2 linked regions of the Lytechinus pictus genome follow. The protein of the gene in region 1 interacts with the protein of each later gene in a pairwise test. Links are inferred from orthologs where the notes say so. Each region holds a gene or a part of one and is shown in the gene's direction. Other genes may lie near its edges. The genes, in order: B-cell lymphoma/leukemia 11A-like and nuclear receptor subfamily 2 group E member 1-like.

Region 1 (7,304 bases):
CCAAGCCCTTTCCTCATTGTGAATGACGTCAGATAAAAAAAAATATTGTTGATTTTTTTATTACAATCAGGGTTGGCCAATTTGCCCTCGCTAATGTGAACAAGAATGGCAGCTGGTCAGAAAATAAAATTCACAAACTTATTGACCATTAACAAGCAATCAGCATTTCTAATTATTCTTGCACTGGTGAATCTCAATGAATTCTACCCGCAGTCCATCATTTATCAATAATTATGATTCACTTAAGTGTCAGCTGTCCAGATAGCATGCAATATCTTTTGCCTTTGACCAATCGACCAGTCACTGTGGTCAGTACAGTGTTTGAGTGACCTCCATTTCAACCGTTCCCAAAAGTCGGTCACTTATAGAAGATGACTGCAGAAGGAAATGCATGCATGTCTTAGATTCACATTGTTTGGTTATGTTTGGCTGTGAAATGTGTTTCAACCTATGACTTCTCTGAAAGTTAACTTTATTTGACTTTATTATATAGAATTGAGCTAATATCCTTGATTCAATATGATTGGTGGACAAAAAAAAATTGATGGGTCATGAGTCTTTGCTGCCTTGTTGATGTCCCACCAAGCAAGGTTTAAGAGTTTGGTATGATAAAATAGTTCAGGAAAATAGAGGTATAAATGTATTTCCTTTCATTAGTAAAATTTTAAATTCATGGAGGAAACAAACCATTTTCATACACAATTTATTTCCAAAAGCTTTAAAGGAGTTGAATGATAATTAGCGCATTGCATGCCTGCTAATGGCAGCCTATTGTTATAATTATTTATTTTTTAATGAGCTGTCTCAGACATAGGCCTGTCTAGCCAAGTACTAATTCTACTGGTACATATGAACTTTTGCTGACCTGGTTGATTTCAACCTAAACTTTATACTAATACTCACACCTCAGTGACAAAATATCACAATTCAATCTTACCGGGAATTATAACTGTGAATTAATACTGCCATTCTTTACACCTTCATAGTCATGGTTCAAAGAAGTAGGTCAAGAAAACGAGATAGGTGGATAGCGATGAAGGGGGGGGGGGCAGGTGGAGGTTGAGGGGATAAAAAAACACATCAGGAACATGTATGTAACACTTTCGGGGGTATAATGCGAAGAAAAAGGGGAATAGAAATATTAGGTCAGCAATTAATTAGATTTGTCTTTTGTGGAAGTAATGATCAGATGATGGTCAAATTAAAAGAGATGATGGTCATCGCTTTGGAACTAATATCCAAGGTCACTTTGACCAATCGAATCGTGATGTCTGGTGAAGAATTTAGACCTGATTAGGCTTGCATACGCTTGACCTACATTGCTACTAGATTCACAGATTTAACCACAATACACTTTAGACAAGAAAATTTGATGTTGTACTATAATTTTTTTCATTGCTGGTTGTTATATGAATAGATGATCTCTTTGAATTGACCCTTCTCCCTCCCCTATCATTTAATATAATTTGCATGCCAAGAAATATGAAGAATAAACTGATTAAAAAATTATCAAAATTTTATGTTGATACTCATCATCCTAAAAATTATGTAATATAAATTCACATAATATAAACATGTTTGTTCTGTCGAATAATGTGAAAGTTTTCTTTCATTTTTTTTAATTGACCTGCCTATGTCTAGCCATTGATGTTGATGACAATGCTGAACATGAAATTGATGTGTAATCCCAATTTCTTAAAAAATAATCATTAAGCCACTCCCTTATGAGAATAAAAGTTTCATTTAAATCAGATTCAAACTAGGAAGACTTCATGATATTTTAAGGTTTAGCTCAATTTCACAGAACAGTCATTTGCACACAAAAATCATAGTGATATGCAAAGTAGTGATGGCATCACACACTATTTTTTAAGATTTTAGTATATTTTTAATAAAATATTGAATATTTCAATTTTTCAAAAATTTGAAATAAAACGATGTGTTGGTTGAAAAATAATAACATACAATAATGGTGATTCTTTACATGTTCACTGAACAAGCAGACCATATATTACAAGGGGAAAATAGTGAAATATCATGTTTCAATTTTCAAATAGCAAAGTCCAAAAGTCATATTGTGTATGCAACATTTTTTTGTGAGATTGAGTACAAATTTAAAATTACATAACTTTCTTAATTTACTTCTACTTTTGATGACATATCAGTGTTGTGCTCATTCTATTCTTCTACTTTAATTCAAATCAATTAGTTGTTGAGAGCCCAACTAGGGATGCACTGATTTAAAAAAGAAACAATGTGAGAATTACATCAATTTATCAAGAAATAAATACAGAAAGTAGCAGTTTTTTTTTTATTCATAAGAAAGCTAGAGGGACCTTTATGAGAAAAGGTATATGTACATGTATAATGCATGCATTATTCTGTCTGCAAATAAGAGTTATGGATGCCATGCAGAATATTCATGAAGATGTTGAGTCGGTCAAATCCTAGTACATCCCACAGTGTCATATCATTATCCATTGGCAGTAATGCCAAACCAACTCATTTTATGCCTTTTTCTTTCCATCCATAAAGTTTCTATTGCTTTTCATTACAGCCTGCAGTTTGCATTTATTTATGAAGCTGTCCTCTCATTTTGCCTCAAAATATAGAATAAACTTTTTCATAACTTCATATATGACACCCAGTGTATAAATTCTATACAGTGCGTCCCACAAAAAACGAAACCGAGATTTATGGATGATTTATCATAACTTAATCACAAATACAATAGACAAGTGACCTACCATTGTAAAGCTTAGAATCTCCTCTTTCATCTGAAATTACTTAGATTATTCCGCATTTACGCATGAGTGAGCAAAAACAATTTGAAGAAAGGATACCAAAAAATCATTTGGCGGGGGGGTATCTGAATTTCAAAAAGAAAATCACATTCCTAAAAAGTTCAATATCTGCTCTTTTATTTGATACCTTAATCACAGAAAATGGTCAAGAAGTAAAAAAGTTCTGTTCCCTTGAATCAATGCTTGTATTTCCATAATTTCATTAAATAAACGTGTTTTCACCAGTTTCCCACAGAAGCTATCGCACGGTTAACAAAAGACTTAATGCATGGCTGATCCTCAAGAAAACGGAGTGTTGAGTGACTGTGAATGCTAGCCTGTAAAACCTCTTCATTTTATGAAATCATTGAAATTCAAGCTTTATTTCAAACAAGCAGAACTTTGTTATTTCTTGACCATTTTCTGTAATTAAGGTATCAAATTAAAGAGCAGATATTGAATTTTTTTGAAATGTGGTTTTCTTTTTGAAACTTCGATACAGCCCGCCAGGTGAATTTTTGCTTTTTTTTTGCTTACTCATGCGTGAATGAGAAATAATCTAACTAATTTCAGATGAAAGAGGAGATTCAAAGCTTTACAATGGTAGGTAACTTGTCTATTGTATTTGTGATTAAGTTATGATAAATCATCGATAAATCTCGGTTTCGTTTTTTCTGGGACGCACTGTATAATACTTTTCATAGAATTGAATTAGAATGCATTGACAGCCCATCATAGTTTTCCACTATGGATTAGGATTTATTGGCAGCTGGTTTAAGATTGTAAAGGGGGAGAATCTATTTCTAACCTACATTTTTATCACAGGGAATTGCGTAAAGATGAACATCTGATTAAGTTATTGTGATTTATTAAATGTCAATGACATACTTTCGAATAGTTATTTGATGAATTCTTTCTAAGCCCTGTATATTAAACATGTTAACACCCACTGTAAATATTTGAATTAACTATTCTCAGTTTTATAAAAGACTTATCTTTGGTTTAGTTACATGCATCTTTTGATATAAGCTTAGATTTTTATTATTTTATCTTAATTTCTCCTTCTTTTCTGTCATTTCTAGTTTCTTCCTTCTCATTTGCATTCTCTCTCCCTCTCCCCTGCTCTTAGCTTTAAGATTTGTTCCTTTTTATTTATGTGTATGTGATTTTAATAAATTTAATTTACCTCTAAAATATAATCATTCTTGATGCTTAATGAATTTTCCTTTCTATATTCTTTATTTCTCTTTGCAGATCCCCACGCAGCTGAAAAATACATATGTGTGTCTTGCAAGGGCTTGTTTGAGAATGCTGCAACGCTCCTGAAACATGCACAGGAAGACCATGGAATGCAGATATACACATTTCCAAAGGAGGAGAGGCCTTTCTCAAGGTCCCGGTCTGTGTCTGTGGAGTCGGTCTCTCAGGTGGACTCCCTCTCACCCAAGAGCACAACATCTAGCACCAGCAAGCAGCTTATTCCCAAACCAATAGAGAGCAGTTTACCACAAATTATTCACCCTCCACTGGCTCCTATACCAGTCCACAGTCCACATTCTCATCCTGTAGATGGTCACACGCCAACGTTTCCAGTCTTAATTCGTCCAACGGGCCCAGATAGGCTGTATTCACCTGGGTTGGAGAGGCTTTATCCCCATATAAATCACATGCACCGGAGGGATTTTCATATGCCTCCTCCAGAGAGTAGAATCACTGAGCTACCACCACATATATCTCCTGTCAGCATAGCCGACTTTCACACTCAGCTGCCATTTGTCCCCCCTCCACCGCCACCCCTACCGCCACCACACCTTCAACCGCAACATCAACATCAACATCAACATCAACCACCGACGGATTCCAGTGCTGCAAACCACTTGAAGCTGTTGGCCAAAAAGAGCCCACCACTCTCACCACACAGGCGTCTGCCTTACCCTGGCTATCCGACCCGCAGGTATCCATCTTTCTCGTCCAAGGGCAAGTCATGTGAATTCTGCGGGAAGACGTTCAAGTTCCAGAGCAACTTGGTCGTCCATCGCAGATCTCATACAGGTGAGAAACCTTTTAAGTGTCATCTGTGTGATCATGCCTGCAGTCAAGCCAGCAAGCTAAAGCGACACATGAAGACACACATGAATAAACCACCATCGGCAATGGGATCCGCTCCAGATATGGATGATAAGGATGAAAACAGCAATGAGGAAGAAGGGCAAGAGGGATCAATGGGCACCGGCGATAGAAAGAATATGAGTGATAGCTCCTCCCCAGAAGAGGAAGAGATGGAGGAGGAAGAAGAAGAGGAAGAGGAGGAAGAGGAGGAAAAGGAAGAAGAGGAAGAAGAAGAGGAAGAACCTGATGAGGCAGACATGGTTGATATAAAACCAAAGGAACCTGAAAGAGAGAATGAAGAAATAACTGTGAAGTCTGAAGGTGAAGCCAAATCATCAGAACAAGAATTTGAAGAGGAAAGATCCAAGGAAAGGAGGCCATCAAGCGCTGATGTGGAACGCGTGAGGAATGTGAGCAGAGGGAGTCCTAAAGGACTATCACATCATCATTCTTCATTGTTAAGTGAGATGATGGTCAATTCTGGATTAGATGAAATTCAGCAATACAGCGAAGCATTTAAGCAGGCCATAGCAGAACGGAATATAATCTTTGGAAAGCCTCGATCGTTGAGTGATGTATCGTCACCAGAAAACCACCATCCACGTAATTCTAACAGCAGGCCACCATCCAGACCACATGATCACCACAGTCCCATTGAATCAAGTTTGATGGCAAGGCTACGAGCAGAGCATACCCTTTTCCAAGGTAATCATCCTTTAACACAAGGTATAGTAGAGCGTAGTGCTATGTCTGACTTGGAACTGGTGACCAACCGCATCAAAATGGAACCATCAACATCATGGCCACCTTCTCCTTTAGCAATACATAGAGAACCACTCATGTCATCACCCGTCCGCTCGGATGCCAGCCCACTTGGAACAACAAATGGCGGTCCAGCTGCTTTCTTTGCTCAGCGTCGCTTCATAGAATCCAACGGTGGCATGCCATCCAACGCCGTACTGCCATACTCAAGTCCTCCCAATAGAATGAAGCCACAAAGGGCATCGGAGAAACGGAGCGATACCTGCGAGTTCTGTGGCAAGCGGTTCAAGAATTGCAGCAACTTGACGGTCCATCGTCGTTCACACACTGGTGAGAAGCCGTACAAATGTCAGCTGTGTTCATATGCTTGTGCTCAGAGTAGCAAGCTTACACGCCACATGAAGACCCATGGTCATGGTGCAAAAGAAGTCTTCAAGTGTGAGGTGTGCAACATGCCCTTCTCTGTCTACAGCACTCTAGAAAAGCACATGAAGAAAGAGCATTGGGGGGCCATCAAGGGGTTGGCTCCCCGTACCGACGCGGTGGGTGCACGAATGTACAGCTACAAGGCCAATCTACCAGGATTGTCTAAGTGATATGAGGTAGTCACTCTAAAAGAACAACCTCAAATCTACAAGACTTGCCTGTCTTGAATGAGAACAGCCACTCAAGGCTGGTTCTTCCTTGCAGCTGATTCCCGTCGTATTCACTCCATGGAGTGAAAATGTCTGTCTAGTATAACTGTAAATGTTCCACAACCCCTAGTTTGCAGTAGCTTCTTAGCAACTTGGATAGTGGTGATCAAATTATCACTCTAATTCCCACATGACAACTCTTTAGCCAGCCATGTACTGTCTTCATTACAAAACAGGCAAGTCATTTTTAGCAAGCTTACATTTGCAGCCTATTAATGCTCAATGCTATCTTTAAAAGCCTTTTGCTATTGAACATGATATGGGATATTTTTGTTCACTTATGGGCAGTCAAAACCGCTATACAGTGATTATTTATAAGAAATTTCTTCATAGAAATTTGATAATTTCTTCTGCAGAATCTGAGTCTGAAATAGAAAAATAAGTTGATAATGAAATGTACAAGTTTTTTCTACATTTGTGAATATCCTAAGATTTCCACTCTTCATGTATTTCTACGTGGGAGAATGGAGCTTTCCATGAAGTGAATTGGAGCTACAAGATATCCATTCCATGTCTGTCTGCCTGGTGTAGGGGTCTTATGTATAAAGTAGTGTAGGCAAAAATATAGCTTTCTTTATCCTGTTCTTGCATCTTCAAGCGAGCTTATCGCAACACAGGCCTGATGATCCTTAATATTCAAGTGGAATGTATGATGTATACATCGTTGGCTGCATATTACTATCATGGAATATTGATAAATATAATGTATGTAATTCATTGCCAAACTTTGAAATAATTAAACTATGAAATAATAAAGTAATGAAATTATGGAAATGTGAAATAAGTGAAATATTTAAAAATGAATCTCTTTAATGCTGTGATTGGATCATGCTGCACTGAATTATCCAAAGCACTTTATTAAATAAAAACTTTATTACAGCCTTTCAAGATGGGAATAAAGATTAACATTCATTATGCTGCTAGAAAAAAAATAAACAAGCTGCAAATATATACA
Region 2 (7,240 bases), on another chromosome or scaffold:
AATGCAGACTGAGGTGGCACCAGCACTTTCAATGAAATGGCAAATCTGTAACTTTCTTACATGCCCCCCCCCTCCCCTCCTCTTTCTTTGGTACACATCTTCTGACAATAATTCAGGAGCTGGATGGCGAAGGCAACAGGTTATGTGTCCGCATGCCCCTGGTGCCGCCACCGATATCAATACAGTTTATCTAAAGTTATAGGCCGTTGGTTCGTTCCTGAATACAGAATTTCATATTTTTTCTTTAGAAGCATATTATTTATGGCTAAATATTATAGCCTGTGAGTTCGAATCGCGCCAAAATTTACAAATCGAATAGTGCGCATGCAACGTTAAACATATTAATGAGAGCTGAAAATGGGGTTTACTAATTAAAATAAAATATTTATACAGAAAAAATACTATCAAAACATAATGTTTTATCACAAAATGAAGAATTAAGAATAAAATTGAAGAAAACTTTTAGCTCTTTGTCATTATCATTATAATGTTTGTGTAACCACAGATACCTGTTTCAGAAAAAAAAGCTGAGTTTAACAGTTAAACGCAGAAACATCAATACACAAACGAATAGTCCAAAATAAGCGTTTTTGATTGGTTTAAAATCAAGTTGTGATTTATTGCAAATCTTCTGTTACAAGTTCTAGAACCTAATAAGAATTGCGAGATGTTCAGACGATGATACATTACGAATATTTATAACCTTACGTCTAAACACGACTTGTTAATAGTGATGTCATAATGCAGGCGGTTGTTTGTGCAGTTGGTGTAGTTCCCTGGGAAGTAAGTAGCCTTTTATAGATTTGTGTTTTCCGCTGGAATCCACATGCATTAAGAAAATCGATAAGGGCAGTGAGTTGATTTATCAGTAATAGAAGTGAATTGTTCTTTGATTTGTAAGATACATTTTCACAATTTTGAAATATTGTGTGAATGATGGGGGATAACTGCTTTGCAGTGGGCCCGCATTCAGGGGGGTTGAGCTGCAGACCTCCCCCACCCTTCACACGTACAAACGTATACCGCCCAGACACACACACCCTCACACAGTGGTGGTGCTTCAAGAGAAAAGACACTCCCTGCTTGTTTTCAAGTAATGAAAATGTGGAAGAAAAGAATAGGGTTAAAGAAGAACATTAAAAAAGAGAGTCACGTAACTATAAATCATCCCGATGCCGCCCCTGCATACACACGTACACCCCATACATTCCAGAGGGAAACTTCTCGATTCCTTGTTTATTTTTCATGCTTTTGGATATTGTTTGATATTCACAAATAAATTGACTGTAATATATTAATTTCCATGTGAATATATCTCCACAATTTCAGACTCGTATTGTCATAATGATATTCAAACTCTTATTTTGGCTCAAAGTATAACGCAAAGCTATAACCTTCTCGTAATCCATATATGCCCATCTAAGGTGTGCTTCATTTCATTTAAACCCAAATAGTGTTAGTGATAGGCCTATACGACAGGCAGTCGAGCATGCACCCGCCAAGACAAAATCTTATTCCTAACGGATCAAACTACTGATCACAGCGGACAATAGATTTTAGGCCCAATATCGTAGAACCTCTTGTTAAAACTGACAAAAACAACTCAAATCATGGAGTTTGATTGGCTTTTGTAATTCATTTATTAACAGTTCATAGAAATTTTGCATTTGAAAGCAATCAAAAGTTTTATGGAACGGGGCCAAATATTCTCTATGGCGATCTAAAGAAGATATCAACATGTCGGTTCTTTCACAAAATAATTTCTCGATTATCGGTTGGATTTTCAGTGTTTTTTTAGTCATTTATATCATTTAATTTAAAGATGAAATATCTAATAATGAATTTTTAAAAATCTGATTAGAATTAATATATTTGCGGGGGGCTTAGTTTCATATAATTTTGGTAATTTACTTTCAAATTTTGCAAAATATTTGTCTGATCTTTATAAAGATAGAAAAGAATATGAAATGGTCTCTTGATTTTTTTTACAAAATAACTATACGTATATGTCGGTCAGTTTTGGTGAATCGATGATTTTAGCAAATTGCAAAAAAATATACACTATAATACGCCTTCATTCAAATCCTAAGTTGACAAAATTTGGTCAGTCCTTTATCGATTGATCCAAAGGCGGTGATTTGCCACTCTGTCAAATAGTAGACCAATATTATCATGATTATATAGGCTTACTATTTGTACATGCAAGCATGCCCAGATTGTGCCAAGTTCATGCCCCCGGGTCCCAGATTGGCTGGGGTCTGGGGCTTCAGCCCCCCAAACCTTTTTTCAGTGTATGAAAACGTAGAAATTACCTTCAAATGTTTATGTAATGCATGCCAAGCCCCCCCCCCCCCGCGCCATCCATACATATCCACACATACACAAACTTTCAAAATCGGTTAAAAAACAAACAAAGAATTCGGTTGAGGCAGTAGCTAAGAAGCAAGAGAAAAGAGCAAAAAAAGAGGAGAAAATATATATTGATGCTAAGCAAACAGAATAGGTGTATGTATCTGTTCACTGTTTGGTTTGCCTTCATTCACCATAACTCAAAATAGTTATTTTAGAATATCTAACCCAAAGATCTATAATCTATCTGATGTTCACGCACCTTTTTAGCCTTTCAGCTTTAGGCTTACTAAGTTATCCAAATGGCTCATTACGCAATAGCACTCATCAACTCTATCAACGAATCCCATACACAATTCGATTGGAAATGAACGGGGTTTTGCTGTCGGGAAAATCGAAAAAATTAATTATAATTGAATGTTTTCCGCTCGTTAACGTCACCTCACTTATAAATGCCACTCAATAAAACATTAGGTAGTCAAGCAGCAGCTAGGTTATGGGATAATAAAAGTTGATGTGGAATGACTCCGAGCAGAAGTCTATTTAATTCCCAAGACCTATATACCTATAAAGTCAAAAAGTATTGTGTATTCTCAGTCTAAAAGTGATTGGTAATGAAGCGCAGCATACTTTAAAACAAAAGGCTAAGTCAAGATACTAGACAATAATTTTAAAAAACCCCACAGAATTAGCACAAGAAAAATATGTTCGGCCATATTACAACTATTACAAATATATTGATAACTTTAGACGTGATTGTAATCGTAGGCGCCGATCACGGGACCCCCCCCCCCCCCACGAATTTCTATTCATTTATTTGGTAGTAGTAGTTGTAGTAGTAGTAGTAGTGTAGAAGTAGAAATAGTAGTAGTAGTAGTAGTAGTAGTAGTAGTAGTAGTAGTAGTAGTAGTAGTAGTAGTAGTAGTAGTAGTAGTAGTAGTAGTAGTAGTAGTAGTAGAAATAGCAATAATAGAAGTAGTATATAGAAAAGGAGCCGCAGGAGAAAAAGTAGTATAATAGTAGTAACAGTAGTTAGAAGTAGTAGTAGTAGTGGTAGTATAGTAGTAGTAGTAGTAGTAATAATAGAAGTGATGGCGGCGGTAGTGGTATAGTGGTAGTATAATATTCGATTTAGAAGTGGGAGTAATGAGAAAGGGCCATAGTCAGACTGAAAACTGGACATGCGCAGACGCGTCTAAGCCGGTCAGATGTATAGGTTCTCATTACCATGGTTGCTAAGGTATCCAAATAAAGTTCAGTTGTACTGATATAGGCCTATGTCTCGCAAGACATTTATGTGGGGGTATCTGTATTTCTAAAGTGTAATCGGCCATTTGTTGTGTTTTTATCATCACTTTATCAGAATTTCGATTCTCGTCCCAAAATTTAATGTGAATGATAAGTGTAATAATTGAGTTTACAGAAAAACAATTCGAAATAACTTTTACTTGTTTATGTTATTATTCAAAAAGTGGATCATGATTGACTACCAAGAATGCCCCTTTAGACTAGCCCAAGGATAAGGATGACAATACCAGGTTTTGACATCGTTATTTTCTATCATTATCATTCTAAAGGCGTACATTTTATTTTGTTTGGACACTCTGTATCTTTCGGGGGATTTACCCTGTTCTATGCACTCTAATAAATGATACATCATAACCCGCCAATCCTCCCATTGCTTGCTTGATAAATTATGACGTCACTGGGAAATGATTCGATCGTATATGCACTTGCCTCATATAGTCGGTGTACACCAATTAAAGACAAACCTTTTCTTTTGCCGGTCGAAAGCCCTCTCTGGATATATTTCTCCATCAAGCAGATCGGTTAAGATCAAGATTATTAACAGTTTTGGACTACAAGTGAGCTTGTTTTGTCTTTAGAAGACTTTTACCGATTAAACCCAAAGCATTGATAAAGGTTGAGCTTAATCTTTTAATCTTCAAAACTGATGTATGCCTCTATATAACTTTGTTTTTCTTCTTCACGTGGAACTTTGATTTGCTTTTTTATCGTATGAAGAGAAAATTGCATACTTTCTTCAAACTTTTGCTCAATTCAGAAAATGTACTGACTTAGTTGCCTTGCCTTTTGTATACTCGTTAATTAGTTTAGACGCCCTTCTTGTTAACAAAAAAACACACAAAGATTTGAATCATTTTTGGACTTTGTATTAAAATGGACATCCTGAGCTTCGATGAAGATAGTCATCATCGTTCGTTTTCAACGACCACGGGGTTGACGGCGCCTAAACTCACACTGACATCGATTTCGACACCGAGCATTATTCGTCCAGAGCAACGACATACAATCAAAATAAGTAAGTATATGAAATACTTAAATAATACTTTTTGAAAGGTCCATACTGTTTTATATCATATAAATTACATATCATGATTAACAAATTTATTCAAAGCATTACGTGATTCAGAACTGGGAACAGCTCCGAAGTATTTGTTTTTTTAAGCTAATCAATTTTCTATGTAAATATCACTTTCTATTCAAATAGCATAATTAACATATTTATGTTATAAATGTAGGAAATACAATATCAATAGATATCGTGACCCCGTCTTACAAATGTTGTTTGAATAGGCAAACTATAGTCAGTTTTGACTATTGTTGCCTTGTTAATTTGCTTTCCTTTTTTTTTCCGAAACAGAATAATTTCTTTGTTGAATCTATATCAGTTAAAAAAGGTAAAGAAAAGAGAGGAAAGAAAAGTTCTTAGGAAATCGTGCAAGACCACCTCTACTGCCCTGTATAGCACGTTATCCTGACAAGCCCGCTCTTATGCCTTACGAAGAGTTGCGATAGATTGTATAGAAATGAATAGAGATTGATCTATAATTATGTAGTTAATACCTATTTCTTACTGACGCGATTCGCGTCAGGATTGAACCCGTGATCTAAATCGTGGAGCAATCGTAATGATCGTGTCAGATATCGTATCATATCTTGAAGTTAGTCGTGGCAGTCGTTACGGTTGTGATTGTGAAAAAAAAATTGGACGGCTCAGAAATTTCCCCATCAGCTACGAAAAGCCAATCACAATTTGAGTTTGATTTGAATGTGTTCGCAACTCTTCGTCCGAGAGTCAATTCTAATTCTAATAATAATGATAGCTGGATTTATAAAGCACTTTTTTCCTGAGGATACAAAGCGCTGCTATTATTACCCCGGCTTTAGCTCGAGCAACCATCACCGGCGCTCAGTGCACGCAATGCATTAATCCTGCCGGGTACCCATTCACCTCACCTGGGTCGAGTGCAGCACAGTGTGGATAGATTTCTTGCTGAAGGAAAACACGCCATGGCTAGGATTCGAACCCACGACCCTTTGTTTGAAAGGCGAGAGTCAGAACCATTAGACCACGATTCTATACGCTTTATATTTTTATCAATATAATGTGACGCTAACAACATTTTGCATTTGTCGTCAAATTTATTTATATTTTATCATTAAGCTAACATGTATTTCTATACTTATGGACGATGAAAACAAATCTAAATCTACAACGACAAATATGCATACTTTCATTTATTTCAAATCTGGATTAGTTTATTTAGATGTGTTTGATTTCTAGTTTGATATTCAATACAAACCAATGATCGTATCAGTCATGATAAATAATAACAATATAAATCACTTTGGAACATTTTCCCACTTTATCTAACTGTGTATTCGTATACTTCATTCTGTGTCCGTTTTAATATATATATATATATATATATATATATATTCTCCTAATGCGATTTATTGATATTTGTTTGTTTCTGTTATTACAATAGTCCTTTTAGGTTAACAGTCAACAGACTCGCATTCTACTGGGTATGCCTATCTATCTCCATGATTACATTCCGAGTCTAACATCTCCAAAGTGCACACGGTTAACTTTTTTTGCCCTCATAGCTTTTCTATCAGACATCAATAAACATAACCTTAAATTTGAAGCCACCAACACCACGAGACATGTTAGCTTTCTGCATCAGAACGCTTCTTAATCCGGAGTTTATTGCATTTCACACATTTAATTAACATCGCGGTCCCACTGGATTCCAGGTTGGCACCATTCTATGCAGGTGTACACACTCTAACGATGCGACGCCACCAATCCTCGAATACCAGAGAATGTTGAAAGGCGAACAGCTTTTACACCAAACTTTGTTTTGCTGTTAGAGGCGTTTTCTGTCTTGATTTCATCTCAGAAATCTTGTCTAGCAAGATAAAGAACCGAAATCATCTCGTTGTCATCTTATCTTACTAGATTTTTTTAAATATATACTATTTACAAGAATGTTTTTAATAGGAGGCTGCACTCTACAAGCTCCGCTTGTAGCAGCGTCCACCATTGCTAACATGTCTGTGTATAGAGTTTTGCAATATGTTTATTGTTTATATCAAGCTTTACGAAATCAAAAATTATATTGTAATTGTTGGAAATTGAAATGAATGAAAATGAAAATTGGAAAAACAAAATGATATACAGTACTTGAAATACTTAAAATGACCATGATAAAGATCAATATTCATGTACTTTTACTATTATCTATTACTATTATGTAATAAGTCGGCATATATAAAGATATTATTTATTGGTAAAAGTGCTTCATCTGATTTATTAATTATGATATAAATCAATATATTTTGGGATATTCATAAAAAGGGTAGATTCAAATTAAAGTTGTAAATCAAGCATGCGCAAAATAAAGAGCTATGTGTTCTCTAAAATATAAGAGCTCTTCTTTTTCAAACAAGTCGAACAGACGGGCAGATTATGTAGATAGATAGATAGATAGATAGATAGATAGATAGATAATGTAGATTGGATAGATAGATAGATAGATAGATAGATAGATAGATAGATAGATAGATAGATAGATAGATA

What was found.
Region 2: the proteins of B-cell lymphoma/leukemia 11A-like (region 1) and nuclear receptor subfamily 2 group E member 1-like interact in a two-hybrid assay, tested with the Homo sapiens proteins (2 studies listed by BioGRID). The link is inferred for Lytechinus pictus from reciprocal best matches to the Homo sapiens genes BCL11A and NR2E1.

What each region holds. Positions count from the first base shown.
Region 1 is NC_087251.1:19,343,335-19,350,638, reverse strand, and holds the start of B-cell lymphoma/leukemia 11A-like, read left to right. Parts: upstream 1-4,041; 5' UTR 4,042-4,132; coding exon 4,133-6,250; 3' UTR 6,251-7,304. UniProt on the Homo sapiens protein: Transcription factor. Associated with the BAF SWI/SNF chromatin remodeling complex. Binds to the 5'-TGACCA-3' sequence motif in regulatory regions of target genes, including a distal promoter of the HBG1 hemoglobin subunit gamma-1 gene.
Region 2 is NC_087248.1:12,707,770-12,715,009, forward strand, and holds the start of nuclear receptor subfamily 2 group E member 1-like, read left to right. Parts: upstream 1-4,089; 5' UTR 4,090-4,530; coding exon 4,531-4,672; intron 4,673-7,240. UniProt on the Homo sapiens protein: Orphan receptor that binds DNA as a monomer to hormone response elements (HRE) containing an extended core motif half-site sequence 5'-AAGGTCA-3' in which the 5' flanking nucleotides participate in determining receptor specificity.